4 linked regions of the Diceros bicornis minor genome follow. The protein of the gene in region 2 purifies or fractionates together with the protein of the main gene of each other region. This does not show direct contact. Links are inferred from orthologs where the notes say so. Each region holds a gene or a part of one and is shown on either strand. Other genes may lie near its edges. The genes, in order: POLR2G, GPN3, POLR3E and POLR2M.

Region 1 (7,990 bases), on a different chromosome or scaffold from region 2:
CCTACCCACTCACCTCATCCACGGTCTTGTAACATGGTGGGTTGGAGTTAGGATCAAACTCCATCTCTGATGGGATGGACTGAAAGGAAATTGGGACTGGGTCAGCACTTTAAATGGATGCTTCCATAGATGGTCATGCATGGGTGTCTCTCCTCCTTGGCCCCCGCCCAGCTTGCCCAGACTTACATGTCGAGAGATAAAGCAGGACATAGGTCCAATTTCTGTGAAGAGTCCAACCTAGAAGGAAAATAAGTGACCTTGCTTTTTCCTTTGTTCCCTAAAGTCTTCTAAGCTTCCCATCTTTATCTGATTCCTAATGATATTCTTCATGTGTTGAAACCACTCTGAATTGTAGCATTTGTTTTATTTCTCTCTTTTTTCAAGCTTTCATTTTATGTTAAACAAATACAGGGTAGTAGTAAAGAGCTGAGGCCTGGGACTTGTCAGTACAGGATTTGAACAAGTTGGTCACATGACCTTGGCCAGTAGACTTAATTACTCTAAGCTTAAGCCTCTATAAAAAGGGATAAAACGTGGGGCCAGCCCAGTGGCGCAAGCGGTTAAGTGCACGTGTTCCGCTGCGGCAGCCCGGGGTTTGCCAGTTCGGATCCTGGGCATGCACCGACGCACCGCTTGTCAAGCCATGCTGTGGTGGCGTCCCATATAAAGTGGAGGAAGATGGACATGGATGTTAGCCCAGGGCCAGTCTTCCTCAGCAAAAAGAGGAGGATTGGCAGATGTTAGCTGAGGGCTGATCTTCCTCACAAAAAAAAAAAAAAAAAAGGGGATAAAACGGGGGGGACAGCCCGATGCTGTAGTGGTTAAGTTTGCTCGCTCCACTTCGGCAGCCCAGGGTTCACGGGTTTGGATCCTGGGCACGGACCTATGCACAGCTTATCAAGCCATGCTGTGGTGGCATCCCACATATAAAGTAGAAGATGGGCACGGATGTTAGCCCAGGGCCAATCTTCCTCAGCAAAAAGAGGAAGATTGGCAACGGATGTTAGCTCAGGGCTAATCTTCCTCACCAAAAAAAAAAGGGATAAAACCAACTACCTCTGGGGCCAGCCCCGTGGCTCAGCAGTTAAGTGCGCGTGCTCCTCTACTGGCGGCCCGGGTTCAGATCCCGGGCGCACACCGACGCACCACTTCTCCAGCCATGCTGAGGCCGCGTCCCACATACAGCAACTAGAAGGATGTGCAACTATGACATACAACTATCTACTGGGGCTTTGGGGAAAAAAATGGAGGAGGATTGGCAATAGATGTTAGCTCAGAGCCGGTCTTCCTCAGCAAAAAGAGGAGCATTAGCATGGATGTTAGCTCAGGGCTGATCTTCCTCACAAAAAAAAAAAAAAACAACTACCTCACAGAGTCCTTGTGAAGCTTTGCACATTACTTGGCCCACAGTAACTACTCAATCAATGGAGGTTACTGTCGTTATGACTATTAATACTGATTTACATGCCCCTGAGTGAGGCAGGGGGAGATTACCACAGCATTTGACAGGTGAGGAAACTGAAACCCAAAGAAGTGACTTGGCCAAGGACACAGAGTTAGCAAGTGGAGTTGGGACCCATCCCACATCTCCTGAGGGACCACCCCACTGCCTCCCCTGTGTATGGTCTCACCTTGTTGACCTGAGTGACAACAGCATCCACGACCTCCCCTTTAAAGGGCCGGAAAACAATGGCCTTGTACTTCACTGGATAAAGGACAAAGCCTCGTCCTGGCTGGATCACACCAGCACCGATATTGTCGATGGTGGTGACAGCAATTACAAAGCCGTATCTGCAGGGAGGATGAGAAAGAGAAAGGCACTGTGTGTGAAGAGCCTCTAAAACCATCTACAAGAGTCAGTGAGCCTGAGGGTTGAGGGACAGCACAAAAGGGAAGTAGATGGCACTCCTGCCCCCAGAGAGCTTAATGACCAGGAAGAAGACAGGACTCTGACTGGTATCTATAATGCCAAATGCTCCTCTCGTAATTTCACGATCAATGTCCAAGAAGGCTGCAGTCCTTGAGCCAATACACCTCAATCTTTGGGATGCCTCAGAATCACTTGGGAGGAACTTATTAAAATGCAGACTCCCAGGCCTGTCCCCAGAAAGTCTTGATTCTGTAGGGGTGAGATGAGGCTCAAGAACCAGCATGTTCAAGGAACACCCCAGGTTATTCTGATGATGGAGGCCCAAGTACTCCATAGCCCTGGGCTCACTGCAGCTCATTCACAACACCGTGTGAGAGGCACCTCTTGTGCAGAGGCCAGAGATGTGCCATGCCAGGTCCCGGGGCATGGGGGACAGAGAAAGCTAGCAGAATCACAGAGGGAGAGCAGACACAGGATCAGTCATTAGACTGTGAGCTCCATGAGGGCTAGCCTCATTCTGTCTTGTTCACTGCATTGTTCCCAGGGCCCAACACAGGACCTGGCACGCAACAGGAGCTTTAAAAATGCGGAATAAATGAATGACCAATTTCAACTGAGGGAAGTTAAGTCTTATGATCCAGCTTTGCAGAGGGCGTATGGGAACCCAAAGAAGAAAGCAACTGACTGCCTGGGGCGCCTGGGAGGGTGAGAGGGTTCCCCAGAGTAGGTGGCAGGCCCCTGCAGGATGAGCAGGAGTTGGGGCATAGGGCGCCGTGTGCGCATCGATCAGGCGGCACGGAGGGCGCGGCACTCACTTGCCGGTGCAGGTCCCTTCCACCTCGGTGAAGAGCTTCTGCTTCACTGTGTTGAGCAAGTTGGGGCCGAAGTAGCGCGGGTGCAGCAGGATCTCGTGCTCCAAGGAGATCTGCGGGGGAAGTGGGATGGAGACCAGGCCAAGCGCGGCAGGGATATGGGGCAAAAAGCGGCCCCTTACCCCGGCGCCCCGCCTCCCTCCTCCCCTCGACTCTGCCCTCGCCGCCACCCCGCGCCCTGCTCACGTGGTAGAACATCTTCCCAGATGAGGCGGGAGACCAGCAGAGTCTAGACCTGCCGCGGCAGCAGCGCCTCCAGATCAACCGCAAACACACGCAGCAGCCGTAACCCCACTTCCGGTCCTGCCCCAGCGAAGTGGGCGGGACTCTGCCCCCTCCGCGGACCCAATTGGGCCTCGTTGTCGTGGGAGGGGAATCCATGAGGCCCCGCCCCTCGCCCCGCCCACCAGCAAAGAGCCCCACGCGCATAAATTAACAATGCTTGAACTAGAATAGAGGTTCAATACATACTTTTAAACAGAATTAATTGATTAATGAAAGCTGGCATAAGTAAAGCGCTTTAGTAAAGTGCATTCATTCAGCAAATATTTGAAGACTGCCTTCACGTAGTAAGCATAGCGAGTAGCTGTTCTTCTCTCATTGAATCCATACAGCAACCCTGTGAGGCGGGCTTTATTGTTATTCCCATTTCCAAAGGAGGTCGCACGCTCAGAGGGTTGAGGTCACTCAGGGCCGGGATTCAAATTCAGTATGTCTGACTCCTAGACTCTTGCATATTCAGGCATTCTAGATATTATTCATGCTCTCATTTGTTCAACAAATGTTTATTTAGCACCCACTCCTTGCCAGGAGCCGGTAGTTTGGCGATAAAGCAGCCAAAGTCAGACCCCAGAGGGCAGCGCTCCCTCCCAGTGTGAGAACTATGTCGCTATGCTCCTCCTCATCCCCAGCCCCCTGCCTCACACCCACACACACACCCACACCCACACGGGACCTAGAGAACCTGTCAGCCCTTGTTTGTTCCTTCAACTCTGCCTACATTTTTGTAGATGGTCCCTTATTAAATTTACCTCAGATAACCAGAGTCAGCGTGCAATATGTTCCCCGCGGAGACTCTGACTTATAAAAGGGCCATGCAGAGAGAGGCAGAAACGCCATGAGACAGACCTATGAGAGAGGCTCAGCAAGAGCATCTGGTTCTAGAGTCAGGGCAGTCTATGCAGCCTTGAGCAAACTCCTTGTTGCCTGAGTAAGTTTTTGTATCTTGGAAGTAAAAGAGCCTGACCTACCCTCCTGCAAGAACAGAGGCCAGTTCCCATTGATGCTGCCCATCTCCTAGAATGGTTGAGGCCGCCAGTCAGCTGCTCAGACTCCACGGGGATCCCTTCTGCCCATGATCAGGCAAGGAAGCAGATGAGTGGGCCTCCATACCCCTGACTCCCTCCTCTCTTTTTCAGGCCAGGCTCCCTGCAAGGGCAACCTTACCTGCTGACAGTGGTGTGCTGGAGCTGACTGTGTAACCATGGGCCCTCTAGGACCAGTTCAAACTGACCCCATCTTATCAACAGAAGGTTTTTCAGGGGCAAGCAAAAAATTTGCAAAGTCACATAGCCCAGAGGAGAAAATCTTGACCTGAAACCCAGGAACCAAAGGACCAGGACACGACCGGAACTCAAAAGTTAGACTCTTATCAGAAGCAAGGTGTCCGTTGTCTAGGAAGATCTCGTGTTAAAGCCCCTTCCACACCTTACCATAAATGTTTAAAGCCCTTCAGTCAAAACCTGCCCTGCCAGCATTTCCACATACCAGCCTGTTCTCCCTAACCTCTTAAATTTCACCCCAAATCCTGAATCAGGGAGACAGATCTAAGAGCTTATGCCTTCTGTCTCCTCACAGATTGATCTCGCAATAAAGCCTTTTCTTTTCTCAAAAGCTGATGCTGTAATAATTGGCTCTTTATGTGCATCGAGCAAGAGAACCCCAATTTTGTGGAGTAACAACTACAAGAGCCAATTGTTAATATTTCACGAATTTTGCAAGCCAGTGGTTAAACATGTTACTGGTACATTGGGTTCTTGTTGTCCCCCAGGATGGAAATCAAGAGAGACAACGAGCAGGAGTAGGAAAGTAAAAGTTTATTAGCTTGTGCATAAGAGAGGCACAAGGGAACTGGTACAGAAAGGAAAGGGGCAGGCAACTGGCTCGTTAGGGAGCAGGATTGTGGGGCTTTTATTAGGCAAAGGCTGGGGAGGAATCCCTTGTCATGGCATGTAGAGGTGGGGTTGTGCTTGTGCCTGTGCTGTCTCGTAGCATGCTGCTACATGTGACGCATGTATCATTAGTGTGCTAGCTCTCCACCCCTGGGTGTGATTTTTACTATGCTAATGGAGCTAGGCACCTTCAGTGGACTCCTGGGTGCTAGGGTGCAGACATAAACCCAGGAAAGTCCGGAGGCTGCGGAATGTGGATCTTGTTGGCCTCTATCTGATTCTCTTAGCTTGCCAATTGGTTAGGGGCCTTATCTTCTTAGGCCAGGGGCTTTGCAGATGGCCCTGTCTCACTAGGCTGGTTCCTGTCTCAAACACAGCCATTATTAAAAATTTAATTATTTTAACTTACAATGAAATGAATTATATTAAAAAACAAAGAAAGAGGTATAAACGAAACAAGTTTGGCAATATATTGATAATTGTTGAAGCCAGATGACAGATAATGGTGGTTTATTATACTTTTCCATCTACTTTTGTGTGTTTGAAATTGTTCATAATAAAAAGCTAGGAAAAAACAAAGGTAATTGTGATATTGTGATTTATAATAAGAAACATATATTTGGTCTTCGTCTCTGTTCTTAGCACAGAGCTCCTAAAACACTTAAAATTTCCTAAGAGATGTGGAAATTAATGAAAGAAACCTTAACTAAATTGTACTCAGGAAGGCCTGTAGGGGGAGGTCTCATGCCCTATCACACATGATCAATTACACCAAACAGGAAAAGATGGACAGGAAGTAAAACTACTTTACTACTGATGGAAGATTTCTCTCCCTACCAGGGAACAGCCCAGCCAATGTGAAATGCCACAGCTCAGCCAATGAGAAGCTGTTGCTGCCCTGAACTGTCACTTTGCCCCAGTGGGCTTTCCTTTAGAACAGCCCCTTCCTACTCGCCTTTTCCTCTATAAAGGCTGCTCCTCTTCTTTGTGGGATTTGCCTATGGTTTGCCATAGCATGCACTTCCCAAATTGCAATTCTTTTTTTTTTTTTGGTGAGGAAGATCAGCCCTGAGCTAACATCCGTGCTAATCCTCCTCTTTTTGCTGAGGAAGACCGGCTCTGAGCTAACATCTATTGGCAATCCTCCTCCTTTATTTTCCCCAAAGCCCCAGTAGATAGTTGTATGTCATAGTTGCACATCCTTCTAGTTGCTGTATGTGGGACTCTGCCTCAGCATGGCAGGAGAAGCGGTGCGTTGGTGCACACCCGGGATCCGAACCCGGGCCGCCAGTAGCGGAGCGCATGCACTTAACCGCTAAGCCACGGGGCCGGCCCCCCGAATTGCAATTCTTTTAACTATTCCCAAATAAATTCGTTTTGAGGCTTTTCCAGTCAACAGTGATAAGAACAATAAAGATGTCTTGATAGCCATAATGATACCCCTTTCTTTTTCTTTTTTCTTTTTTTTTTGGTGAGAAAGGTTGGCCCTAAGCTAACATCCATTGCCAATCTTCCTCTTTTTGCTTGAGGAAGATTGGCCCTGAGCTAAGATCTGTGCCAATCTTCCTCTATTTTGTATATGGGACTCCGCCACGGCATGGTTTTATGAGCGTGCCTGCAATCTGAACCCGCAGGTGGCAATCTGAACCCGCAGGTGGTGGAAGCGGAGTGCCAGAACTTAACCACTTCGCCACCAGGCTGGCCCCACTAACCCCTTTCAACCACACCTGAGGTTATGTTAATGAGGTGACTTTTGGAAAGAACCTTAGGATGGGGACTGGTTGCCAGGAGAACCAATAGTGTGTGATTGGAGGGTTGGAACTTTCAGTCTCACCCCCGACCTCCAGGGAGGAGAGAGGGTCCAGAGGTTGAATCAATGGCCAATGGCCAGTGATTTAATCCATATGCCTGCATAATGAAGTTTCCATAAAAACCCAAAAGAGTGTGGTTCGGAGAACTTCCAGGTTGGTGAGCACGTGGAAATTTGGGGGGAGCGTCATTCTCAGAGAGCATAGAAGCTCCGCGCCCTTTCCCCATACCCTTGCCTCTCTTCCATCTGGCTGTTCCTGAGTTGTATCCTTTAATAAGCCAGTAACTAATCCAGTAAGTAAAATGCTTCAATGAGCCGCTCTAGCAAATTAATTGAACCTAAAGAGGGGGTCGTTGCCAGTGGGTCAGAAGCACAAGTGACAACCTGGACTTGTAATTGGCATCTAAGGGAGGGGGCAGTCTTGTAGGACTGAGCCCTTACCCTGTGGAATCTGACGCTATCTCCAGGTAGACGGTGTCAGAATTGAGTTAAATTGTAGGACACTCAGCTGGTGTCCAAGAATTGCTTGGATGTGTGGGGAAAAAATCCATACGTTGTAATTGAAGTCAGACGCATTAGTAATAAATACTCAAAACTCATCACTTCCTAATTATTTTACCACCATTTACTATAATCAATCCTCTTGAGGTTATTTACATCTATTGTGTCTGTGTGGTGTAAATATTATCTAATTGTATATGTAGGTATGAAAGTTGCAGTTGCTCTGATATCCTCAGCAGCCCTTGGTATTGTCATAGGGTTTTTTTGTTTGTTTTGTTTTGTTAGCTATTCTAATAGCTGTGTAGTAGTATCTCATTGTGGTTTTAATTTTTCATTTCCCTAAAGACTGATGATGTTGAACATCTTTTCATGTGCTTCTTTGCCAAGAGTGATCTTTTCAAAACTCAAGTCAAATCATGTCACTTTCCTACTTAGAACCCAATGGCTTCCCAAGGCCCTAGAATAAAGTCATCACCCTGGCCTACCAGGCAGGGGACAGATCCAGCCAATTCCATTTTCCACCTCTCTTCCTCTTGCTTTCTCCATTCTAGCCGTATTGGCCTCCTCTCCCACCTTGGGACCTATGCACTTGCTATTTCCTCCGCCTAAAATGCTCTTGGCTCTGATTCTCACCTGATAGGCTCCTTCTCATCCTTCAGGTATAAGCTCAATTTCAACCCCTCAGAGAGGCCTTCCATGACTGCCCTGGCTCAAGTAGCCACACCCCAATCACTTATTGCATTGCCTTGTTTTATTTCACAGAATT
Region 2 (7,459 bases):
CTGCTAAAAGGTCTGTGAAGGCAGGGATAGTATCTGTCTTGTTCTCTGCTATAACCCTGGTGTCTGGCATAAAGTAAGTGTTCGACAGACATGTGAATGAATACATTAAAAGAATTTAAAAAAGCAAAGCACTTAGGCTGCTCACTAATAGTATGATCAGCAGTATACCCAATTCACCACAGCAGGACTAAGCCTGAAAGGCACAGAAGGGAAGGGTGGTGAGGGAGGAGTCTATTCACTTTTAATTCTTACATCAAAGACCAAGAAAGGATACTGACACATACATCATCACGAGTGGATGTCACCAAATGATACCCAGCCTCATGCTGTTCACCATGAAAACAGGGGACCAGACTGTAATAATTGATTTTTAGCTTCTGTGCTGAGCAGCCAGCACTCTCTGCGTCCCCAGACCCTTATTTTTCCTGAAGGAGGAGGAAGGCTCTGCTCAGAACTCACCAGCCATCACGGGGTAGTTGAAGTGTTCTGCTGCAGGATCTAGGTTCACAACCTGGACAGACCGATTGAGGGCTTCACAGTGCTGGACCATGGTGGCACAGTAGGTGCTCTGCAATGTCACAAGGCATGAGGAGTCAGAGCAACAGGCAGTGCAGTGCTACTGCCTGCACCCCCAGAAGGACTCTCTACACCCCCTGGGCAGTGTCTACTAAGGCCAAAATTATGTGTTCATCGACTAAAAAGCTGTCTGAAAAGGGCAAAGGCATTGCGCTGGGAATCAGGACACCTGACTGGGCTGCAGAACTGGCTTGGACTCAAGGGTAATTTGGGAGAAGCTGCTTCTCCACTCTGCCCCTCGATTTTCTCATCTCTAACTAGGATGACCTCCATGATCACTAAGACTCCTTCCTGCTCTAACGTGCAATGAGCGGAATTTAAAGGGAGCATTTCTGGTTACACAGTGCAGCAACTAACACATAGTGTCTCCACTAGGACGTGAACAGTCCAAACAAGGCTTTAGGTAGGGTGGTCAGAGACGATTTCTCTGAGGAGACGATATTTGAGCCAAGGGATGGGAATGCGCTTGCCAAACCAGGGGAAGAGCATTCCATGATGAGAGAACATTGACGTCAATAAATAGCATGGAGGTGGGCTATCAATTTGTAACTTTTGGTTTACAGAATTCTTTATCCCTCATGTAGTCATTACCACACTACGTTAAAAATCTCTAGGCTACTTGTCTGTCTCTCCCAACCTCTACTTAAAGGCTGGGATGTGTCGGGCCGGCCCTGTGGCTTAGCGGTTAAGTGCTCGTGCTCCGCTGCTGGCGGCCCACGGTTCGGATCCAGGGCTCGCACCGAGGCACCGCTTCTCTGGCCATGCTGGGGCCGCGTCCCACATACAGCAACTAGAAGGATGTGCAACTATGACATACAACTATCTACTGGGGCTTTGGGGGAAAAAATAAATAAAAATTAAAAAAAAAAAAAAATAAAGGCTGGGATGTGTCTTACGCAGTTTTATAAGTCCAGGGACTAACTAGCACAGTACCTGATACATAATAAATGCTTGATAATGATTTATAATCGACTGACTTAATATGATTTATAATCGACTGACTTAATGTTTGAATATAAACTCCATAAGGGCAGAGATTTGCGTGTGTGTCTTTTATTCAATAACACAATCCCCAACGGCCTAGAACAGTGCTTGGCACAAAGAACATGCTCAATGAGTATTTCTGATCATAAGCACCAAAAATTTATAGAAAGATACTTACCTAACACAATCAGTCCAAAAAGCAGTCCAGAATATAGAAATAACCTCTATCACACTTTCTCCTCAGTGACTTTACACATACTGTTCTCTCTGCCTAGGAGGCCCTCTCCATGCATCACACTGTATGTTAACTGACAAGTCATTTATCTGTATTTCCAGATAGACTATAGGTCTGGGTAGGCAAGAGCCATATCATAGTCACATGTATAACTCCTACACCCAGACTGAGGACAAACCTCAGAACGATGTGTTAATTTAAAGATTTAAGCCACACAACACCTCCACAGACTCGGGTGTTTCCCACACTCCTGTTATTTGACTAATACGTTCACCATTTCTACCATATTTGAATGTCCCTAATATTATTCCCTTAATACTTGTTTACAAGAAAAAACTGTATGTCTATCATAAACAGAAAACCAGTTATATTTATCATAACATGAAGGTAACCATAAAATTAAATACAACTTTATAACTCTTTTCATTCAAGCTAAATACAATTGCCTGTCAAAAGCTGAGTCTAAGATCTGCTCTCTGAAAACACTTGGGGATTAAAGAAGTGTTAAAGATACACCAACATAAGGGAGAGCCCCGTGGCTTAGTGGTTAAGTGCGCGCGCTCCGCTGCTGGCGGCCCGGGGTTCGCGCACCGACGCACCGCTTCTCCGGCCATGCTGAGGCGGGGTCCCACATACAGCAACTAGAAGGATGTGCAGCTATGACATACAACTATCTACTGGGGCTTTGGGGGGGTAAAAATAAATAAATAAAATCTTAAAACAAAAAAAGATACACTAACATCAAACTGACAATTTCACCTCAATGCAAACTGAAAGAAAATTAAAAAGGGAGCAACTTTCTCAATGTATGATTCAATGCTCATTAATGTCAGGCCCATGTACCTCCTAAAATCGCCTCAAATACCAGAAGTCCATGTCTCAAGCTCTGAGAAACAGTGATTAACGAGATGCCACTTGAACCTCTTGGGAGGGAGACAGGGCCAGATTCTGGAGATAGATAAAACCAGATTCAAATTCCAGCCGTCCCTTACTAGTTGTGTGATCTTGGACAAAGAACTTAACTTTTCTATGTCTCATTTTCCTTATCTGTAAAATGGGAATAAGACTTATCTCACTGAGTTGTTGTGGAAATAAATGAGACGTTTACCGCACTATCTGGGGCATAAGTATACAATATTAGCAACTATCATTAGTCTCTTTTCAAAACAACAACAACAAGGACACTGAAGCCCAGGCTGCAGAGGCGGCCTGCTCAGGGTCTCAGGGTCCCCAATACACACACCCGCCGGTCCCTCCCTCAGGACCCGAACCTCCTTGCCTCCCGCGAACTCCGACTTTTCTCTCCTTCTCCCGCCAAATCCTCACCTTCCCGCTGCCCGCGGGACCCATGACCAGCTGCGCATATCGAGGCATGCCGGCTTCCGGGGTTCCCGGCGCCTCCCGTCCCACAGCACCAACAGTCTGACCACCACGCTCCCTCCAGCCTTCGCGCGGCGCCCACTGAGTTCCGGGAACACGACGTGCGAACCAATCGCAATCCAAGCTCCTTTTGCGTCTTCTGTTCCGCCACACCTCTGATTACGGCGCGTCCCGAAGGCCAAATTCCATGTGAAACGCGCCGTCCGGCAGAGGGGGGAGTGTTTGCGCGTGCGCAGAAGTAGCTGGCGGAAATCTGCGGTTGGGATACAGGCGGAGCCGGGTTGCCTTGGTGATAACGGATAACCGACAACAATTAGCATCCCTGCGCCGGGTGCTTTCGACCTTGGTTTGCGTACTGACGTTTGACCTGTATGATGGAACTCGAGGTTTGCAAATTTGCTGAGGGTCTGGAATACTGAGGTGGAAGTCACTTCTTGTTTTAGAGGGCATGTATATTTCCTTCTCGTGACACGTCCCTTCCACAAAAAGATGCAAACGTGCAAACGCGCAATCAACTAAAGAACCCCCGCCCCTCCCCCAATTTAACTCCAAGATCGTGGATCTGCCCTCCCCGCTCTCCCGAAGCTATTCGGGCAGTGTCCGGACCGCATCGGAAGGGGCTCGAATCCGGCATCCGCCTCTCACCCCCAATATCGCCCGGCCTGACGCACGCGTGCTGACGGGGGAGGGGAAAGGGGAAAGCTGCTCCCGCACACAGCTCGCGGGCCTGGCACCCGGGAGGAGATGCCCGGCCAGGGTGCGGTGTCCGACTGGACGGAGTGCAGCTCTTCCGCAGAGCCGCCCGCAGTGGCCAGGACCGTGGGTGGCGGCGGCGGGTGAGACTGCGGGGCCAGGACTGTGGGTGGCGGCGGCGGGTGAGACTGAGGGGTTAGGGAGGACGGCGACCAGCCCAGGGTCGAGATCCCCCTGTAGAGGAGGGAGTGGGAGCTGGCTCCCCAGTGCACGGAAGTGAGAGGAGGAGAGAACCTTTTTGGTGGCTGGGATGGGAAATATGGAAGCCGACTCACTGTTTAGGGGAAGGGCTTCTGAGGGAAGCTTAGGAGGAGGGTTTGGTGCAATGACTAAATGCAGGGACTGCGACAATCGCCTGCGTACGTCTTTCTGCCTCGAGGGGGCGCTGCGAAACCTACTGGAAAAATTGCCGTCTTGCCACAGGATCTCTGCATAAAGGCGGGTAGGGGGACAACGGGGACAGATTCCTCCGGCTCAACCGAGGGCTTCCAAGTCAATAATTCAGTTCCCTGTATGTGACATTAGCCACCTTTATGTCAACGGGATTCATAATCGCCAATGAGACAAGTGATTATGAATATTAGAGGCACCTTGATCTTGACATTTTCTTCCCACAGAAATTCCTTCCTTCATAAATCCGTTTCATTTTGAGCAGGTGTCCACTATTATTTCCTGGATGCTGAAGACGATTAGTTGCTGAAGGCATTACCTCCTCATCCCTTCCATCAGTTATTCCCCAAATCTAGAGTTGCCAGGTGTTCCTCTCTAAATTCAGCCCACAGTCATGGCTCCTGCTGATATGTATCTGGCGGATTGACCTTTTAAAGATGGGATGGGGTCTTGTGTTTCTTTTCTGTTCATCACGGTGCTTGGTGAAGTGCTGGATCCCAGTATGTCGAGAGATCAATGAACTTTGGGTCATTGAATAAATTGAAAGAAGAGGGAGGGAAGGGTGTTTTGTCTTAAGTTGAGAAAAGAAAAAAAAAAACTTGTACAAAATTAGAGACATTCCAGACCAACTTATCAGTTCCAGTACACTTTAATTACATGCAATAAAGAACAAGATAGTCTTTTCCATACCCAAGTTACTTTATTAAAAATAAAGAGAGCAAAAAAAATATCATGGATAGCACAGAAGCCCAGACTACTTTATTGAGCTTAACATAGGAATTAGATTAGGAGACTATAAAAGTAAGACCAAATCTGGCTTAAAGTCAATCCTTTCTAGTAGAGTAAAAATCTCAGTTAACTCACTTTGAAAAAGCCTGGAGCCACTAGGATACAACCAGAATTAAAAGAGAAAATTTGCAAGACATTCTGTCTGATGGAAACATGAAAAGTAAAAAGGATATGAAATACTGCCTTTTTTCATTTAAAATACTTTCTTTACTGCTTATAAACTTGTCAATTATTACATATTATTTAATCCTTTTTTTAACAGATCAGCTGGACATTCTTATTACCAGAATTCCAAAGGTACTGGTGAGTAGAGCATATAAAGCAAATACCTATAAATAACATGGTGCAGAGAAGCCAATTTAGCTATGACCACTTACACAATGGAGTTTTTAAAATAGACTTTATTAGCATCCTTGGTGAACTTACTCTTTAAGATTTTCAAAGAACAATCCAGCAGGTTCTTTCTCTCCTGTTAAGATATCTCACATCAAGCATTTTAAAAAGAGTACTTCAAAATAGCAATGAATCTGAAAAGAACAGTGTTTATAACTGATGTTGGTTGAAAAGCACAGAGCACAGCCTGGGGTTTATATGCAGATTGAAGGAAAAAATCTAAACTGAACAACTTCAAAGAATATAAAATATTTCTCAGTGCTCCTATTTTCCTCTCACTTGAAATAAACGATAGAGTTGCTGGAGTTAAGAGTCAGACAGGCCCTCAAAGGCCTCTCACTAATTTTGGAGGAGAGAGAAATTTCAATTCAATGATATATAAACCTGGATTCACTTTACTTTTCCTTGGAAAATTTATAGTCCTTACAGTTACCTAGGAAAAACACACACATATGTGAGTGTATGTACATATATATAAAAATACATATATATGCATATATAAATAATGTGGTCATTTTAAAATGGAATTGCTGGATCATATGGCAATTCTGTTTAATTTTTTGAGGAACTGCCATACTGTTTCCACAGCAGCTGCACCATTTTACATTCCCATCAGTAATGCACAGGGTTCCAATTTCCCCATATCCTAGCCAACACTAGTTTTCTGTTTTTTTGATGAGAGTCATCCTTATAGGTATGAAGTGGTATCTCATTGTGATTTTGATTTGCATTTTCCTGCTGATTAGCCATAGTGAGTGTCTTTTCATGTGCTCATTGGCTGTTTGTATTTCTTTGGAGACATCCAAGTCTATTCAAGTCCTTTGCCCATTTTTCAATTGGGTTGTTTGTTGTTGAGTTTAACTATTATTTTTAAATGTTTCATTTTCTGTAAAGAAATGCTATCAAGCTTTTGTGGAATTAAATTTTAGTCTAGGCTATAATATACATCTCAGAAATACTGATTAGCAAGGACACAAAAGCTATATTCTTAGATAATTAACCCACATTTATCACTTAAAAAGGATTTTAAAAAATAAACTTTTATAATGTTGAAATGGTATTCATTATTACCGATTCCAAATTATGTTTTAAGGGTCATAATAACATAATTTCCAGATGATTTTCTATTTGTTGGCAAACTAGTCCTTCAGTACGCAAATATAACTCTTACTTATCTGCACTAACCATCCAAAATCTTGAGTATGCAAATATGTCTTACTTATCTGCACTAACCATTGCCGAAATCTCGAAGAAATCACTAAATTTAAAGTTTAATATGTAAGATTATAGTGGCCTTTGTTATCAATAATATTGAAACGAAACTGTGTTTATTTAATTGAGTTTACTAGGTACAAACTTTTAACTGAAAATCTATTCTGCCAGCTTTATTTGTAATAGCCTAAAACTGGAAACAACCCAAATGTCCATCAAGAGGTGGATGGATCATCAAATTGTGGTTTATACATACATGCAATGGAATACAACCCAACAATAAAAAGGAATGAACTATTGTTACATATCACAAGAATGGATTTCAAAATAATTATGTTGAGTGAAAGAAGCCAGACAAAAACAGAATATATACTGTATGTTTCCCTTTATATCAAACTCAAGAAAATGAAAACTAATCTATAGTGATAGAAAGCACATTAGTAGTTGCCTGGAAAGAGTAGGTGTGTGGAGAGGAGTGTACAAAGAGTTATTTCCCGATTAAATTTTGCCAGATATTGTTTTTCCCCAAACTGCTAGTGAATTTTATACCCTAAATTAAGTTAGTGGTCTCAATATGTCTGAAACTGAAAACTAGTTTCCATTCTTCTGGGAATATGTCTCAAGTTTTATTTTTTTTATTTTTATTTTTTGTGAGGAATATCAGCCCTGTGCTAACATCTGCCAATCCTCCTTTTTTTTTTTTTTTTTTTTTTTGCTGAGGAAGACTGGCCCTGGGCTAACATCTGT
Region 3 (7,860 bases), on a different chromosome or scaffold from region 2:
ATCAGCTGCACCTGGGGGAAAGAATAAATGACTGGTTTTAAGTGTTTTCTGACCACTCACAAAGAAGAATTCACCGCCAGGCAGGAAGGAGGCTGGCGGGTCCACAGCCACAATGAAAACGCTTGAGAACTAACTGGGGGCCATGGGGAAGCTTTAAAGACTCCCGCGTCCAAGAGGACGAGCAGATGGTCCCACGGCTTTCCAGGCTGTCTCTGTCTCTGGTATTTGATTTTCAAGCTGACCTGAAGCCCAACCCAGAGTGAGATGCTTCTCCTCTGTGTGTGTGTGTGCGTGTGTGCACGTGTGTGCGTGTGTGTGTGCGTGCGTGTGTGTGTGCGTGTGTGCACGTGTATGCGCACGTGTGTGTGTGTGTCTGAAAATGACCCTCTTTACATACTTTTCTCTAATGTGTCCCACACAACCCTGTGAGTGGCTTGATTGTCCCCACTTTATAATGAGGAGACTGGAACTCGCAGGCACTTTACGTGTCCTACCCAAAGCCACACAGCAAGTAAGAGGACCCGCTGGACTTCAAAGCCAGGCCATCCGACTTCAGGCAGCAGGTACAGGTAGGGGAGTTCAGAAGAGGGAAGGGAAGGGGTCAGGCGGGGCGTTTGGGCTGGGCCTTGAAGGGTTAGGACAAGCCACGAGAGCAGAGGGGAGGAGGGATTTCAGGTGACAGGAAGCACTCAAGTACCTGGAGGAGGGAAGGCTGCAGGTCTCCATGGCGGAGGGGAACTAATTCAGCTGGGCTGACCCTTCCTTAGAAAGGCGCCTGGGCACCCTAATATCTCAGCAGTCCCCAGACCTCTACTTTCGAGTAAGACCATCATGACTTTTATCTTATCTACTTAACATTTGAGCTATTTAATATTTAAATATTCCTTCACCATGGGTGGCATTCAATGTCATCTAAGCCCCCTGCCCGTGCACCACCACCTGAAATCACCTCACTTACTCCAGATACACGTTCCAAACTCACACTGCTCAGGCTGAAATGCTGGCCTCATCCTTGATGCTTCTCCTCCTCTCATCCCACACCAGCAAATCCCGTCAGTTCTCTCTTCAGAGGATGTCTGGAATCTGGCCCCCTCACCACCACCGCCCCAGACCAGCCAGCTCCATATCTTACCTGCATTACAGCAACAGCCTCCTAACTGGTCTCCCTGCTTCCACCCTTGCCCCCTACGATCTTGGCTCAACCCCACAGCCAGTGATCCTTTGGAAAGCCACCTCAGATCACGTCACTCCTCCATCTTCAAAGGCCTCCCTCCCATCACACTCTGAATAAAAGCCAAAGTCTTTACGACCCACCCCCACCCCAGCCCCTTTACCTCTCAGACCTCATCTCCCACGGGCCTCCTTCCCTCTTCTCTCCTCCCCCCTCCCACCCCACCTCTGGGCCTCTGTAACTGGTCTACCCTCCGGTCACCTCAGGATCCCTCCTCCTCTTTCTGGTTTTTTTTTGTTTTTTTTTTAATAATTTTATTTATTTATTTATTTTTCCCCCCAAAGCCCTAGTACATACTTGTATGTCACAGCTGCACATCCTTCTAGTTGCTGTATGTGGGATGCGGCCTCAGCATGGCCGGAGAAGCGGTGCATTGGTACGCGCCCGGGATCCGAACCCCGGCCACCAGCAGCAGAGTGTGCGCGCACTTAACCGCTAAGCCACGGGGCCGGCCCATCTCTTCCCGGTTTTTGCTCAAATGTCACCTCATGGCTAAGACCTTCCCTGTCCAACTAACTCAAAACTGCACCCCGCCCCACCAACTCCCTTCCCTGCTCTGGCTTTCTCCATAGCACCTATCACCATGTGACCGTTTATAGCTCTGTGTTTATTATCTGTCCCCAGCCCCACTGCCACTAAGTTGGAAGTGCCTACAGGAAGGCAGAGATTAGCATCTATTTGGTCCCTTGCTGTACCCCCAGTGCCTAGCACACAGCAGGCACTCACCACATATTTGTTGTCTGAAAATATGAATCACAGGAATGCTATTTAATAGGGAGCTACCAAAGGATTCTGAGTAGAGGAAAATCTGGAGGGGATAAAAAGACAGACTAGAGGGAAGCAGGCCACAGCGACAGTAAGGAGATGGAAGACTGGGTGAAATTAGAAGCCCCAAATGGACAGTTTTAGGTGGCTTCTAAGCCCCAGACAGAAGGTGACGGATGGGAGAGCCCAAGACCCCACCCCTTCTGCACTGCCTGCCAAGACCACAGATGTACGTCAAGCACCTACCTTCTCTACGGCTGGCTCTGTGCACAACTGAGAGACTGGGGCCTTCCAGGTGAGCCAGGGAACAGATCATATGTACTAAGAGGGTGCGGCCTGGGAGGTTCCCAAGATGCAACTATTCTCCCAGAGACAGGCATTCCGGCTCTTGTGCTCTGCTGGCCTCTCCCAGTCACGGAGGCGCTCAGGGAGGATGAGGTACCTTGAGCTGGAGCCCCTCCCTCTGGATAGTACATCTGATTGGGTTAAGGCAGGGGTTAACACCTCGCTTCATCCTCCCACCCAATATCAGCCAACTCAGTGGCTTCCAAAGTTTTCAGCCTAAGACCCACAGCAAGAAGTCCATTTCACATAAGCAACCCAGAACATACAACAATTATGTAACTAAAACAAGGTTTCACACAGCCATGACTGTCTCTACTACATGTGATGCAGCGACGTTTTCTACTCTTGCTCGTTAAAATTAAAAATGCTGGTTACAATCCCAAGCTGATTTCACATCCCACTAATAAATCTCAAACTGCAATTTGAAAGGTACTGCACCACAAGTCTCTCTGCAGCCCCTCTCCCACCTCCAATCCTTTCAGAAACAGCCAAGAGTTGTTCTTGTAAAAAAGTAAATCACATCATGCCCCTGCTCAAAACCTTTCAACTGTCATATACAATAAAATCCAAACTCCCTTCCATGGCCCCAAGGCCCTACATGATCTTGCCCCGCTTTACCTCACCATCCACTTGGCCAGGTGGCCACTTGCTGGGCCTCCAACAGGCGAAGCCCCAGCCTGCCTCAGGACCTTTGCACAACATCTATTTTCCCCAGGTCTTTTCAAGGCTGGCTCCTTTTCATTAGCTATCACCACCACCCCCTCCAGGAGGAGACAGATTCCTTGATCACCCCATCTTAAAGAGCCCCCGCCCACTCACAACCCCTTCCCAATCACTACCACATCTCCTGATTTTATTTCCTTCGTGGTTCTTATCACAATCTGAAACTATCTAGTCTGTTTGCTTATGTGTGGTCTATCTTCTGCACTAGAAATAAGCTCTGTGAGCGTCTCTCGGTGCTTCAGTTTCCTCACTATAAAGTGGAGATAACTACTCTTACTTCATCAAGTTGTTATGGGGATTATCATCTCTTTTTTTTTCAAACTCACACTATGTTCCCATACCTAGAACAGTGCCTGGCATGAAGCAGACACTCAATATAGTGCAAAGAATAACTGAGTGAATGAGTGTCTAAAATCAGGAGGTCACAGAACCTCAACACAGTGAGCCTAACTCAGCCCCATCCAGAGACCGGGGGCCTCATAGTTTGGGCCACATGGACACTTAAGAACAGACAGGGGCTGTGGCGCAGGCCAGAGCAGGCCTCCCAGCCACCATGAGCCAAGCTCTTCTGATAGCAATGACCACCTTGGCCTCAACAGGGGTCCTGTGGCCACAAGGCTACTCTGTGGCAGCGGCTCCATGGCCCTAGGCACAGGAAACTTCCCTCAACAGGGAGCTGCTCAACAAATGGAAAGGAGACAAGGACACCAGGTGGAGCTAAGGAGGGGTCCAGAGCAGGGGATGCCACAGTTGGGTGCATCCATGCTGCCCCCAGGAATCTAACCTGTCAGTCAATCAGAAAAGCAGAGGCAACTCCAAACGGATCTCCAGCTGTTGGAGGGAGTGAGGGAGGTCTGAGAGGACAAAATACAACGGAGTTAAGGGGAGAAGTCCCCAGGGCAAATGGTCTCAAGGCCTGGCTTCTAATTGGCTGTGTACCCCTTGGACAAGGCATTTCCCCTCGCTGGGTCACCTCAGTTTCCACATCTGTTAAAGGAAGACTTGGCCTAGGGGACAAGAAGAACTAATTAACCCTTAAGTGAGTGTCAGATCCTTCTCTATGGATTTCACATACATTCTCATTAAATCTTCTCAATAGCCCTATAAATCAAGATTTATCATCCCTAATTAAGAAACGAGGAAACTAAAGTTCAAAGAGTAAGTAGCTTGCCCAAGGTCACAGTGCTAGAGAATGGCAAGCCAGATTCTCCAGTCTAGCCGTCAAAGATCCTTATTCTCATTCTTAACCACTATGCTGCACATGTTCCTAATAAAAGGCAGTATGGTATAGTGGGTAAAAGCCTGGACTCCAGAGCAGAACTGCAAAGGTTCAAATCCCCTGTCTGCTACCCACCATCTGTGGCCCACTCGGAACTGTCTGATGCTGGTTATCCTTCACTGTTTTCATCCCTAAAAAGGGGATAATAAAAGTATCGACCCCCAGAGGACTGTGGTGAGGATTAACCACGATGATAAATGTAACCTGTGGGAGGATTTGTTATTACTTGGCAACATATTTTCTTTTACTCTAAGAGGGTATGAGATTTAGCCAGAAATCAAATGCTGCAAGCTGGAGCTTCTCCTGTCTTAGCCGATTTAGCCCTCACCACAACCCTATGAGGTAGGAAATTCTACTATCCCCATTTCACAGATGAAGAAACCGTGGCGTCTGCTAAGATCTCCTCTTCCTGCCCCCAAGACCAACGATTCTAAAGCTAACATAACAGAACGACCTTGTTTATTGACTGCTTTACTTGACGTGCTTACTGACCCCTCCTCCGACCAAATGGTTAGGGTCGTATCCGCGGCAGTGTTGGCTCCCAATGATCACTGAATGGTGACTTCATTAAATGAATCAGGAATCCCGGGCCCGGCCGGGCGGAGGCTGATCTGGTTCAGCGGCGAGGAGGGGGCCCAGGCAGGCTCGGGTACCCTCCACCTGCCCATCAGGGCGGGCCGCCGGCCCCGAGCCACATTGTCCAATGGGTTTCGCCTCCCTCGCGGGTGGGCAGGCCCCCTTCTCACGCCCACCACGCAGCCATCGCCACAAGTCTCCACGCCAGCTGGACGCCGGCTGCCTTGGGACAGGTGCTCCTGCAGGAGGCCCATCTGGGCCGGGCGGGGCACGGCGGCTGGACCCTGAGTCACGACCGCCGGCAGCCTCCGCTGCGGCCCCCACGACTCCCGGGCCGGGCCCAGGTCGGAGCCCGCGGCCGGCCGGGGTCTACTGGGGCAGGCTGCCCATCCTTCCCGCCCGGCCCCGGAGGCCCCCAGTCCCTGGGCACGGCGCGGCGCGGGCCTCCCGGCCTACTCGGCAGCCCAGCCCGGGCCCACCTCGTGAGTGCGGCCCGGCTCAAGCCCGGGCGGGGGCTGTCAACTCGGCACTCACCTCTCCGCGGGGCCCGCGCGCGCGGGCGGCGGCAACGGCCCAGGTACCCGCGGGCTGCAGAGGCGGCGGCGGCCCGGCTCTCCTCTCAGGCAGCGGCCATGTTGCTGCTGGAGAAACTCCGGCGGACACGTGGGGGGAGCCGCGCCGGCCCTCGCGCTTCCTTTTACCCACAATGCGCCGCCCCGGCTCTCGCGGTCCGCCCCCTCCGCCGCTCCATTCATGGGGCCCGCCAGCCCGGCCCGGCAGGGGGCGCCCATGCACCGGCAAAACAGAGCCGAGAACAGCCGGGTGCCAAGGCAACAGCGACAAAAGAAGCTAGCACTGGCAGCGGTGGGATTCGAACCCACGCCCCCGAAGAGACTGGAGCCTTAATCCAGCGCCTTAGACCGCTCGGCCACGCTACCTAGCTGACGAAGCAGTCTTCCAGGCGTCTATTTAATGGCATTACATGCGCTTGCAGTGCATTTTTTTCCTGGAGTTTCTTTGTTTAATATGTTTTATTTGATCTTGATAGAACTATTTAGAACATGCCATGTATTTTTTAAAAAATGTTTGCTCCAATATTTAGACCCAGGCTTGTTCCAAATAGGTTTTAAAGCGAAGAGCAGTTGAAGAGTCTGTATTCTGAGTCGGGTGTTTACCTCGGAGACCTCAGGTTAACCCACTGTACTGGGGGTTATGTATCTTCCCAGAAATGATGGATTCTGGAAGTAACCCGCACCAGGGGATCCCAAGGACAAACCAGGGGAGCTGGTCTCGGCAGTTTTTCTGAAAAACTATGTTTTAATTTTTAGTTACACAAATAATACGTGAAATTTTGCAAAATATTAAAACTTTGCAGACAACGCACAAATGCTCTTCTACCTTTGACCCCCATCCTAAGTTCCCTCAATAGAAGTAACCATTATCATCAGCTTGGTATATATCCTTCTGGATCTTTTGCTGTGAATTTATATGGATATATTGGCATGGGTATATGCATCCATAGAAAATAGAGGTTTTGTTTTTATTGGTGTGGGTTTTTACATAAATATTATCATGCTTAGTATTGATCTGCAATTGACTATTTTTTACCCGACTATATATTTTAAATATCTATCCATGTTGATGTATATGGATATTTAAAAATACTGAAAAACAAAGAAAAAATAATCATCCATATTCCCACCACCTAATATTGTGTCATTTCACTTCAAATCCTTTTCTTAACGTATATACGTTTTGTTAAAAGTTACACAGGTAATGGTATGAATATGTTGTCCTTTTAAAAATCCATTTAAAAATAATTAAACCATTACAAATGAAAATAAATCCCCCTTCCCAAACATCCTCCCTGGCTATAACTGTTATCATGCATTTGATGTGTATCCTTCCAATCTATCTCTTATACTTTCACATCTATACATGAATTTGTGTGTGTGTCTTCAATATATTTTTCACTTATATAAACATTACTCCATCGTATCAATATCATTATCATTATCAATATATCAATGATATCAATATCATTCTGCAACTTGCCTTTCTACTCCTTTTGAGGTTATTATGACACATATAGATCTAATTTATTCCATGCTATGAATATGTACATTTAAGTTCTTTATATTAAGTTAAATTGTTATATTCAAGTTTCTGGTTAATATCCAGTTGACACACCCTAACATTTGGGCATTCCATATTTTTTCTTCTCTTCAATTCCTCTTGAACCAAGTTTTCCTCCATTTACCTTTAACAAAAGTATCAATATGAAAAGATTTCATTGAACTAGGAGAGTTTGTTGCTTTTAAAGGAAATTTTTAAAAATACAGAAGCAGCCATCTATTGAGGACACAGACCAAGCATTGAAGGGGATTCAAAACTAAATGAGGAACAGTTCTTGAGATCAATAGAAGCATTGATCTAGTCATGGGGTTTTAGTACCAGGAGGGAGTGTATTTGTTTGTGAGTCGTGTGCAGTATTTTCCAAAAGAAAGTATCCCCATTGTGAAGAAAAATTGCTGGAATCTGCCTAATCCCACTTTTCTAGGAATTGCTTGACCAGCCCAGAGAATGGGTCCCTGGCAGCCACCTTCGTGCTGTGCATTCCTGCCCCACACCATGGCCAGTGGGCTCTGTGGTAGACATAGGACTCAGGTCAGATCAATCAGATTCTCTTTTGAGAATCTGAACTGAGACGTGGTGACTTTCTGAGTTGTTAATTTGACTGTTTTAAGTGTTGGAATCAGTTGTATTTCAGGTTGTTGGAATTAGTCTCTGATACTGACTGGATCTAGAGAGAAAGGGGGATTTGGGGTGGCCATACTCTGTGAGATGGATTGGAGAAGTAGAGAAAGCCAGTGCATGGAAAAAGAAAGAAGGATCGAATGAGACGAGCAGAGTCACAGAGAAATCCTAATGGTTTTCTGGC
Region 4 (8,025 bases), on a different chromosome or scaffold from region 2:
AAAGTTTCCTCTTGCCCCCTCGTAATCCATCCCCCAGCAGTTTCCTCTTGCCCCCTCGTAATCCTTCCCCCCAGCCTCTCCCTGCCACCTCACATCATTAGGCAATCACTGATCTGCTTTTGGTCACTATAGATTAGTCTGCATTTTTAAGAATTTTATATAAATGGAATATTTAAAAGAATACATACTCTTTTTTTCCTAGCTTCTTTCACTCAGTACAATTGAGATTTGTGAAGTTGTTGCATGTTGCATGAATACCATAGTGTTCAATTGTATGGATATACTACAATTTAATGTTTATCCATTCACCCAGTGATAGACATTGAGTTGTTTCTGGTTTTTGGCTATTGCAAACAAAGCTGCTATGAATATTTATGTACAAGACTTTGTATGGACACATGCTTTCATTTCTCTTGGGTAAATACCTAGCAGAGGAATCGCTGGGTCATATAATAGGTTTTAAGAAACTACCAAACTGTTTTCCAAAGTGGTTGTGCTATTTTACATTGCCATTGGCAGTGTATAAGAGCTCTAGTTGTTCCACATCTTTTCCAACACTTGGTATAGTCAATCTTTCTAATTTCAGACATTCTGATAGTTGTGTAGTAGCATCTCATTGTGTTTTTAATTTGCATTTTCCTAATGGCTAATAACATCGGTGACCTTTCATGTGCTTATTTTTCATCTATACATCTTCTTTGGTGAAATATCTGTTCCAATCTTTTATAACCTAATCTTGGAAGTGACACCCCATCACTTCTGCCATTGGTATTACTTTTACCATATTCTGTTTGTTACAAGTGAGTCAGTAAGTCCAGCCCATATTCAGTTGGAGGGGGACTTCTCACTAGGGGGACCATTGGAGGCCATCCTAGAGGCTGCCTACCACAGATGGCTTCCCATTTCTCTTGGAATAAAATTCAAACTCCATATCTTGGTCTACAAAGCCCTGCAAGATCTAGCCCCAGCCTTTTTAACTGTTGTTATTTGAGGAGCTCTTTCTCCTTTTAGAGCCTGAGTATTTGTTCTTCCCTCTACTTGGGATACTTTTCCATCAGATTTTCCTATGGCTAATTGCTTCTTGACATTCAGGTCTCAGCTTATAAGTTACATCCTCAGAAAAATCAACCTCAATCACCCAATCAATCAAGGTGGCCTCCCAATTACTCCTTATCACATCACCTGTATTAATTCTCCATGTAACACTTTAGTACTATCTGATGGAATGAAAGTTTCAATGTGGCAGGAAACGTGTCTCATTCGTCACTATATCTCCAAAGCCTAGAACAGTGTCTTACACACGATAGGTCCTCAATAAATATTTATTAAATGAACCAATGAATGAGATCTCCAAGGAGGCAAAATGGATGGGATCCAGAGCATAGATGGAGGGATTAACCTTGAATAATGTCCCCATTACTATTGCTGTTTAACAAACCACTCCAAACTTAAAAGTATGAAATAATGACCATTTTATTATGGCCCCAAATTCTGTAGATCAGGAATTCAGAAAGAGCCTAGTGAGGATGTCTCTGCTCCAGAGTTTCTGGGGCTCCAACATGGAAGTCTGGAAGGCTGGTAGTGACTTGACAGTTGGGGGCTGGAATCATCCAAAGGTTCGTTCATTCACACGTCTGGTGGCTGATGCTGCCGTTAGGCTGAGACCTCAGCTTGGACTGACAGCCGAAACACCTAAGCAAACTCAGGTTTCTGCACGGCTTGCTGGTTGGGTTCCAAGAGTAAGCACCTCAGGAAAATTAGGCAGAAGCTGCATCATCTTTTACCATGCAGACTGGAAAAATCACTTTTGCTCTAGTCATAAGCATGCCCAGATTAAGGATAGGGAACATCAACTCCATTTCTTGAGAGGAGGAGTGTTAAATTCACATACTAAGAACATGTGGGACGGGAAATATTTTTGCTGCCATTTTGGTGTACTCCAGGTAAATTGTGACCAGTTTTGTGGCCGTTCACGCCCCCAAACTGACAATCATTGGGAGAAAACAGAGAAGAGCAGCCTGCAGACTCTGAAGATTAATGTTACAATTTTACAATTGATTGGCAATTGTTATATTCAACTCTGTAAGGACAAATGGAAATCTTTCCCGGGTTTTTCTGTTTGATTTTGTCATCTTTAAATCACATTCAAACACTGTCCTTGGGCAGGTTGGTGGAAATGGGATGGCTAAGTCATCCAGGCATCACTTCATATGCTGATGAAATTTTCCTTTCCTTTAATTCTTCGTTGTGAATTTTTCTTTCTTTGTAACAGCCAAGTTCATTAGTTTACTCTGAGGGCAATTAACACTCAGGTGATTAATCCAAGTATCATAGGAAAACATGATTTAGAGTTTTTTAATGAGTATTGAAAAACAAAACCCAAAAACACTTGTCTAGATTCAATTTTGTAACAGAAGGGCTCTTTGACATACAATTGGAATTCTTCAGCGGAGATTAGCTGCCTGTGGTTTGTGGGTCCATTTCTTTTCAAGTGTTTTGCCCAGTTTGGCTGGAAACAGGTAAACATTTCTCTGCTTGTGAAATCTCTCCATTTTATATCCTTTTTCCCCAGAAATTGCTGTTAAAGTTTGCGTTCTAAATACTCATCTTTGTTTGTTTGACAGATTATAAAAGAATATGTTGCCTATTTTCATTTTGAAGCACAACTAGCCTGCTTGGTTACTGAAAAGAGAGCTAGACAGTTTGTGCATAGCTGTGGTTAGGAACTCAGATTTGTATTATGACATCTTGAGTCCTAAGCTATGTTGTGTAAAAGATTCTATCCCATACCACTGAAAATATCTTCACAGTAATTATGGTTAATACTTACAGAAAAAGCTTAAGGTTTGTATACACAAAAAGGACTTTCATTAAGAGAAAGAGGAATATGGAGTAAAAAAATTATGAGAGGGAGATCCTGTCAATTCGTACCCGTTATGTGCATTAGGGGGAGACAGAAAAGTACAAACCCAGCTCTCTGACAGAATTCCCTGACTTTAAAATTTTGTTAGAAAGGAAAAAGAAATCACCATGCATAACACAATGAGAGAAGCATTATATGTTTCATATTGTCAGGTTCATAGTGAGGTTCTGACTGTAAGCACTACAGTTATGCTCAAAAGAAAGAGCAATTTGGGTTGGAAAAATCTAAGAAGGCTCAGGGCGGAGGTGAGACTTGAGCCAAGATTTATAATGGGGTGGGGGGAAAGGGACAGCCTTCCACAAGAGGACAACAGCCAGGGGCAAAATTCTGAGGCTTGAGAGAAAGGCATCCTCGCCTTGAGGACACCTGTGGCCCAGGATCTTAGAAGATGGGGATGACTACTGTGGGGGAATAAAGGCCTCCAGCTGCGGCCAGAGACAGGATGAGGGAGCCTTTGGGGGAGCTTGCCAGCGGGACAACTACCTGACTCAAAGGCCTTACTCAAGTATTTCTTCTTTAGCCAGGGCTGGAGCAGGTATTGAAGTCCTTGAAAGCTGGGCTTATGTTGAGAATTTTGATACATTAATCTGATTAGAATGGACTAGATTGGGAGGATATAGAAATGACTTCAACTGTGCTCCCTGGAGTAGCTTCTGCTTTTATCTAGAGCTTCTGTCTGATTGGGAGGGAATTGCTTGTGTTTATTATAGCACTTGACATAGGATTAGAAAATTTAAATTTTCCATATCAAAGAATGGGGAGTTGGAGTTTATGGGGGTGTTCAAACTTCCCAATCGATATCTGTTGCAACTCGTGCATGCTTCCTACTCAATCTTTTGGGACATGGCTCTGTTAGCTGAACTGTAAAGAGAAGGTAAGAGCTGGCTGTGATGCTTATGACACTTCCTTCCTCTTCTCAACAGCTGGAAAGAAACTTTTCAACAATATTATACATTTGGAAATAGGCATAAAATGAAGAAGGAGGAAATTTCCAAAGTGGTGTGGTGGAACGAGCAGCTGGACATTTGAGTTTGAAATCTGATGTGTCACTGACTTGTTTGGGGTCCTGGGAATACTTACTTCAGTTTTTGTGCCTCTGTTTCTCTATAGGCAAAATAGGGAATTGTGAAAGTGATTCTCAGCTGGCTTGGACAGCTATTTCCACCCCCTTCACCTCTCATGGGCCTTGGGAAACGTGTGTGTAGGGGTCAGGAGAGCCGTTTGGGGTTGTTACAGTGACTGTGGCAGTAGCAACTAGTGGGCAGAAGCCAGACACCAACTGTCTTTCAATGCCTGAGGCAGTGCCATAGATGAAGAAAAGTCCCGCTTCAAATGCCATAGAGCCCCATTAAGAAACGCCAATGGTCCCAAGGATCCTTCCAACGTTAACATTTGAGGACTTCACTAAGTCTTGGGCTAGGAGGTGCCATAGCATAGGCCAGGGCCCCTCAAACCCTGTCCTGCACTCCGCCCCAACCTCACCAACAGCTAGCTAACTCATCACTCAGATTTCACTTATATTTCACTTCTCAGAGATACCATCCCTGGTGCCCACCCCAATCTTACTATTACACTGTTTTCTTCTTACTTGATTAACGTCTGCCTCCTCCACCACTCGGTAGCCTGTCTAGCGGCAAGGGCCGTGGCTACCTGCCGAGGTCACGGTGGCACTCAGTAAATACTTTTTGAATACACACACGGAGACTGGACGCACATGGAAACAACCTGCACCGCAAAAGCGAGCCCAGCCGGGGCGTGACGTCACCCCGTCACTTCCGCCCCTTCCCGCCCCTCCGGGTGCCCCCTTCTCCTAGTCTGTGTCTGTTTCCGGCGTTTCAATAAAGCTCGATTCGGCTCGAAGACGACTTGTTCTTCCGGGAAAATGGCGGCTCCCGCTCGTGCCCCGGAGTCCCCGCCGGCCGCGGATCCGGCGCTAGCAGCTGGGGCTGCCGAGGAAGCCGCGTGCCCGCCGCCTCGCCAGGCGCAGCCCCCGCAGAATGTCCTCGCTGCCCCGCGGCTTCGAGCCCCAAGCTCCCGAGGACTTGGGGCAGCGGAGTTTGGCGGAGCTGCGGGAGATGTTGAAGCGCCAGGAGAGACTTTTGCGCAACGAGTAAGCTTGGCTCCCGCCCAGTCACTGCCAGGCTCCTTCGGTTCGGGCTCCCCGGGACGCGTCCCTCCCTTCCCTCCCCCCGTGCCTTCTCTGGAAGGTGACCTTGCCTCAGTCAGATTCGTCCCATCCGGCTGGCGAGTGGCCGGCCTACAGCCGCAGAGCCGACCGCGTCCCGGCCGGCGCGTCCCGGCCGGCGCGTCCCGCCCTTGGGGGTGGCTCCTGTGCTGAACGGCGGCTTGGCCTTTCTGCTCTCCGCTAGCTCCGCGTTGGTTTTCTTTACTCAGCTGCCGTGTCTGTTCCTCGAAGGAAGGCTCTGTGTACTACGTCCTTTTCTCCCCCTCCCCCATCGTGTCCCAAACATCATCTCAGTTGCATCGTTCGATCCTATTTGTACAGGAACCGTAGGAAATGGAAAGAGTGGGATATAAAGAGTGGTTTATTAGGCAGAGAAAGTTTGACTCTCATTCAGCTGGGAGACTTAACGGATTTTAGCAGGGGAACTATATAATGGAAGTAATTTTTTTTTAGGAAGCTAAATTTAGCAGCTTGGTGCAGGATGGTTGGAAGGAATAAGAGGCAGAAGACAGTAGGAGGATATCTTCAGAAAAGTTCCCAACGAGGGGGTTGTAAGAAGGCGAACTAGAAAGGTAGTTGAGGGATTGGAAAAACTACATTAGGCGTGGAATAATTTGAATATGTAGTTGACAGAGAGGGTTGAAGTTTCCAGCCTGTATGGAAAACCATTAATAAAAACAAGAAAAACGTGGAGAGGACTACTTCCCAGGTTGATTTTACTTAAGGCATGCTGAGTTAACTAGTTACCTGGTTAAAAGCTGCAGAAGTGGTCATGAGGCTCAAGAGAGAGAGGAGAAGGTTGGGAAAATACAGGAATCGCAACTGGAGAGAGATGTTACTAGTTGAAATTGTGAGAACGAATATAGTGCCAGAGAAAGAATAGAGGGCCTGAGATGTAACTTCCCTCCCCATTTATTGTTTAGCTAAAGACAAGGGAATTTGAAAAGTAACTTCTGTCATTCAGCAAAAGGGACGAACAATCACTTGGGTTCTTCCTAGTAGAGACAAGTTTTTTGACTTTGTGAGAATGAGTTTTTAATCTTTAGCAGTGAATTAACTTTTTGGTCCCAGGACCCCTTTGTGCACTTAAGAATTGTTGAGCATCCCAAAGAGCTGTGGTTTTATGTGTTATATATACTGATATTTATCAATGTGTTAGAAATTACAAGTGAGAAACTTTTAAAACACAAGAATACAAAAGCACACACATTCCATTAGCCATCAGAGCAGTGATATCCTCACATATCATGTGGCTTCTGGGAAGCTCCACTGTACCCATGTGAGAAAATGAGAGGGAAATGGCAAATGGTGTCTTAGTACTATTACGAAAATAATTTTGACCCTGCAGACTCATCCACCTCCCCTCCCTAGGAAGGTCTTGGAGATCACACTTTAAAAACTACTGATTTTTGTAATGTTTTATATGGTTCTTATATGCTTAAAATACTTTTGCTGAAATTTTAATTAGATGAGACAAGTGAGGCATATTCCCCATTCTTCCTGCATGTCCTTGTTTTTTTGAGGTATTTGGATAGTGACTGTCTTATTTCATTCCTGTTTTGGGGCAGTTGGAAATCAGATTTTTGACTTAAAGGTCAATTTTGGTCCTTTTGATGATAATGCTTTGTCTTTATATCTCACGTTTAAAACCATGGCTCTAATGTATACATGTTCTTTTCCATTTGACAGAAAATTCATTTGCAAATTGCCCGACAAAGGTAAAAAGATAATAGACTCTGTTGCCAAACTGAAAGCTGCCCTTGCAGAACGTGAAGAAGTTAGAGGGAAGAGTGAACTGTTTCATCCTGTTAGTTTAGACCATAAGCTAAGGCAAAAAGCAGTCGCAGGTGTGGACGTGGACACGGATAAGGCCCAGAACTCTGACCAGATCCTTGATACTTCATCACTAGTTCCTGGCTGTTCCTCTGTAGATAACATCAAGTCATCTAGAACAACCTCACAACAACAGGGACTTGTATATCCTACTCACAGAGGTGATGCAGAGGCTCCAGAGGTTGAGTACGCAGTGAACAAGTGCCCAGCTTCCAGCAGCAGAGACAGCGCGCCTTCCTCATCCAAAGCTAGCGAGCGTCTCCCTCAGCATCGTGTTTCAAGTCAAGCAGAAGATCATTCTAGCAGCTCTGACAACCTGTTTATTGATAGGTTACAAAGGATCACAATTGCAGACCCAGGTGAACACCACTCTGAAGAAAACACCAGTACTGAGAACTTGACAGGCCTTTGTAGTGGGACTCAGAAGAAGCCTCATTACTTGGAAGTGCTCGAAATGCGAGCCAAAAACCCAGTGCCCCCACCACATAAATTTAAAACCAATGTGTAAGTACCATCGGAAACAGGCTGTCATGGCAACATAGTATTTGTTAAACTCAAAAATTGGAAGAATGCTTTCAGTTCAGTGGACTTGTGCGTGAGAACTACTTGTGGTTAGGAATGAACATATTGTAAACAGACCAGAGGATTTATGTTGAAAAATACTTAAGCTTTTTTAGCCAAATAGTTGAAAAGATTTTAAATAGCAGATGGAGTATTAAATTTCGGGATGCTTAGGCAATATTTCATAATAAACACAGAGTTAGAGAATTTATTATGCTTTTTTCCCCGGAACCATTTTCTGGTATACAGCTCCCCCCTTTGATTAGACTGTAGGCTAAGGGAAAAGCAATCACAGGAGCTGATGGCCTTTCTCAGCAAAAGATATTTGCGTGCTCACTTTCTGTAAGCAGCAGGTGCTGTGGTGACACAGAAGTAAAGATTCTGCTCCTTAATGAGTTTGGGATCTGGATGAGGACCCAAGGCATACACACTTAGAAGGACCTTAAATTATATAATAACAACTTCAGGGGGAAGGGAACTGAGAAGGGATTAAAAAAACTGAAAACAGATTTGGTCAGGATCT

The links.
Region 1: the proteins of GPN3 (region 2) and POLR2G purify together in Homo sapiens (affinity purification with mass spectrometry; 3 studies listed by BioGRID and IntAct, counting the BioPlex papers as one, with this or other methods). This does not show direct contact. The link is inferred for Diceros bicornis minor from reciprocal best matches to the Homo sapiens genes GPN3 and POLR2G.
Region 3: the proteins of GPN3 (region 2) and POLR3E purify together in Homo sapiens (affinity purification with mass spectrometry; 3 studies listed by BioGRID and IntAct, counting the BioPlex papers as one, with this or other methods). This does not show direct contact. The link is inferred for Diceros bicornis minor from reciprocal best matches to the Homo sapiens genes GPN3 and POLR3E.
Region 4: the proteins of GPN3 (region 2) and POLR2M purify together in Homo sapiens (affinity purification with mass spectrometry; 3 studies listed by BioGRID and IntAct, counting the BioPlex papers as one, with this or other methods). This does not show direct contact. The link is inferred for Diceros bicornis minor from reciprocal best matches to the Homo sapiens genes GPN3 and POLR2M.

Annotation. Positions count from the first base shown.
Region 1 is NC_080770.1:10,374,312-10,382,301, forward strand, and holds the start of POLR2G (DNA-directed RNA polymerase II subunit RPB7), read right to left. Parts: upstream 3,038-7,990; 5' UTR 2,941-3,037; coding exon 2,929-2,940; intron 2,796-2,928; coding exon 2,686-2,795; intron 1,792-2,685; coding exon 1,632-1,791; intron 238-1,631; coding exon 187-237; intron 80-186; coding exon 14-79; intron 1-13. UniProt on the Homo sapiens protein: Core component of RNA polymerase II (Pol II), a DNA-dependent RNA polymerase which synthesizes mRNA precursors and many functional non-coding RNAs using the four ribonucleoside triphosphates as substrates.
Region 2 is NC_080774.1:8,983,635-8,991,093, forward strand, and holds the start of GPN3 (GPN-loop GTPase 3), read right to left. Parts: upstream 3,249-7,459; 5' UTR 3,170-3,248; coding exon 3,122-3,169; intron 569-3,121; coding exon 460-568; intron 1-459. Other genes in the region: protein FAM216A, read left to right, coding at 3,920-4,011, 5,370-5,410. UniProt on the Homo sapiens protein: Small GTPase required for proper localization of RNA polymerase II (RNAPII). May act at an RNAP assembly step prior to nuclear import.
Region 3 is NC_080765.1:31,056,337-31,064,196, reverse strand, and holds the start of POLR3E (DNA-directed RNA polymerase III subunit RPC5), read right to left. Parts: upstream 3,047-7,860; 5' UTR 2,313-3,046; coding exon 2,243-2,312; intron 1-2,242. UniProt on the Homo sapiens protein: DNA-dependent RNA polymerase catalyzes the transcription of DNA into RNA using the four ribonucleoside triphosphates as substrates.
Region 4 is NC_080744.1:52,976,404-52,984,428, forward strand, and holds the start of POLR2M (protein GRINL1A), read left to right. Parts: upstream 1-4,808; 5' UTR 4,809-4,920; coding exon 4,921-5,033; intron 5,034-6,797; coding exon 6,798-7,445; intron 7,446-8,025.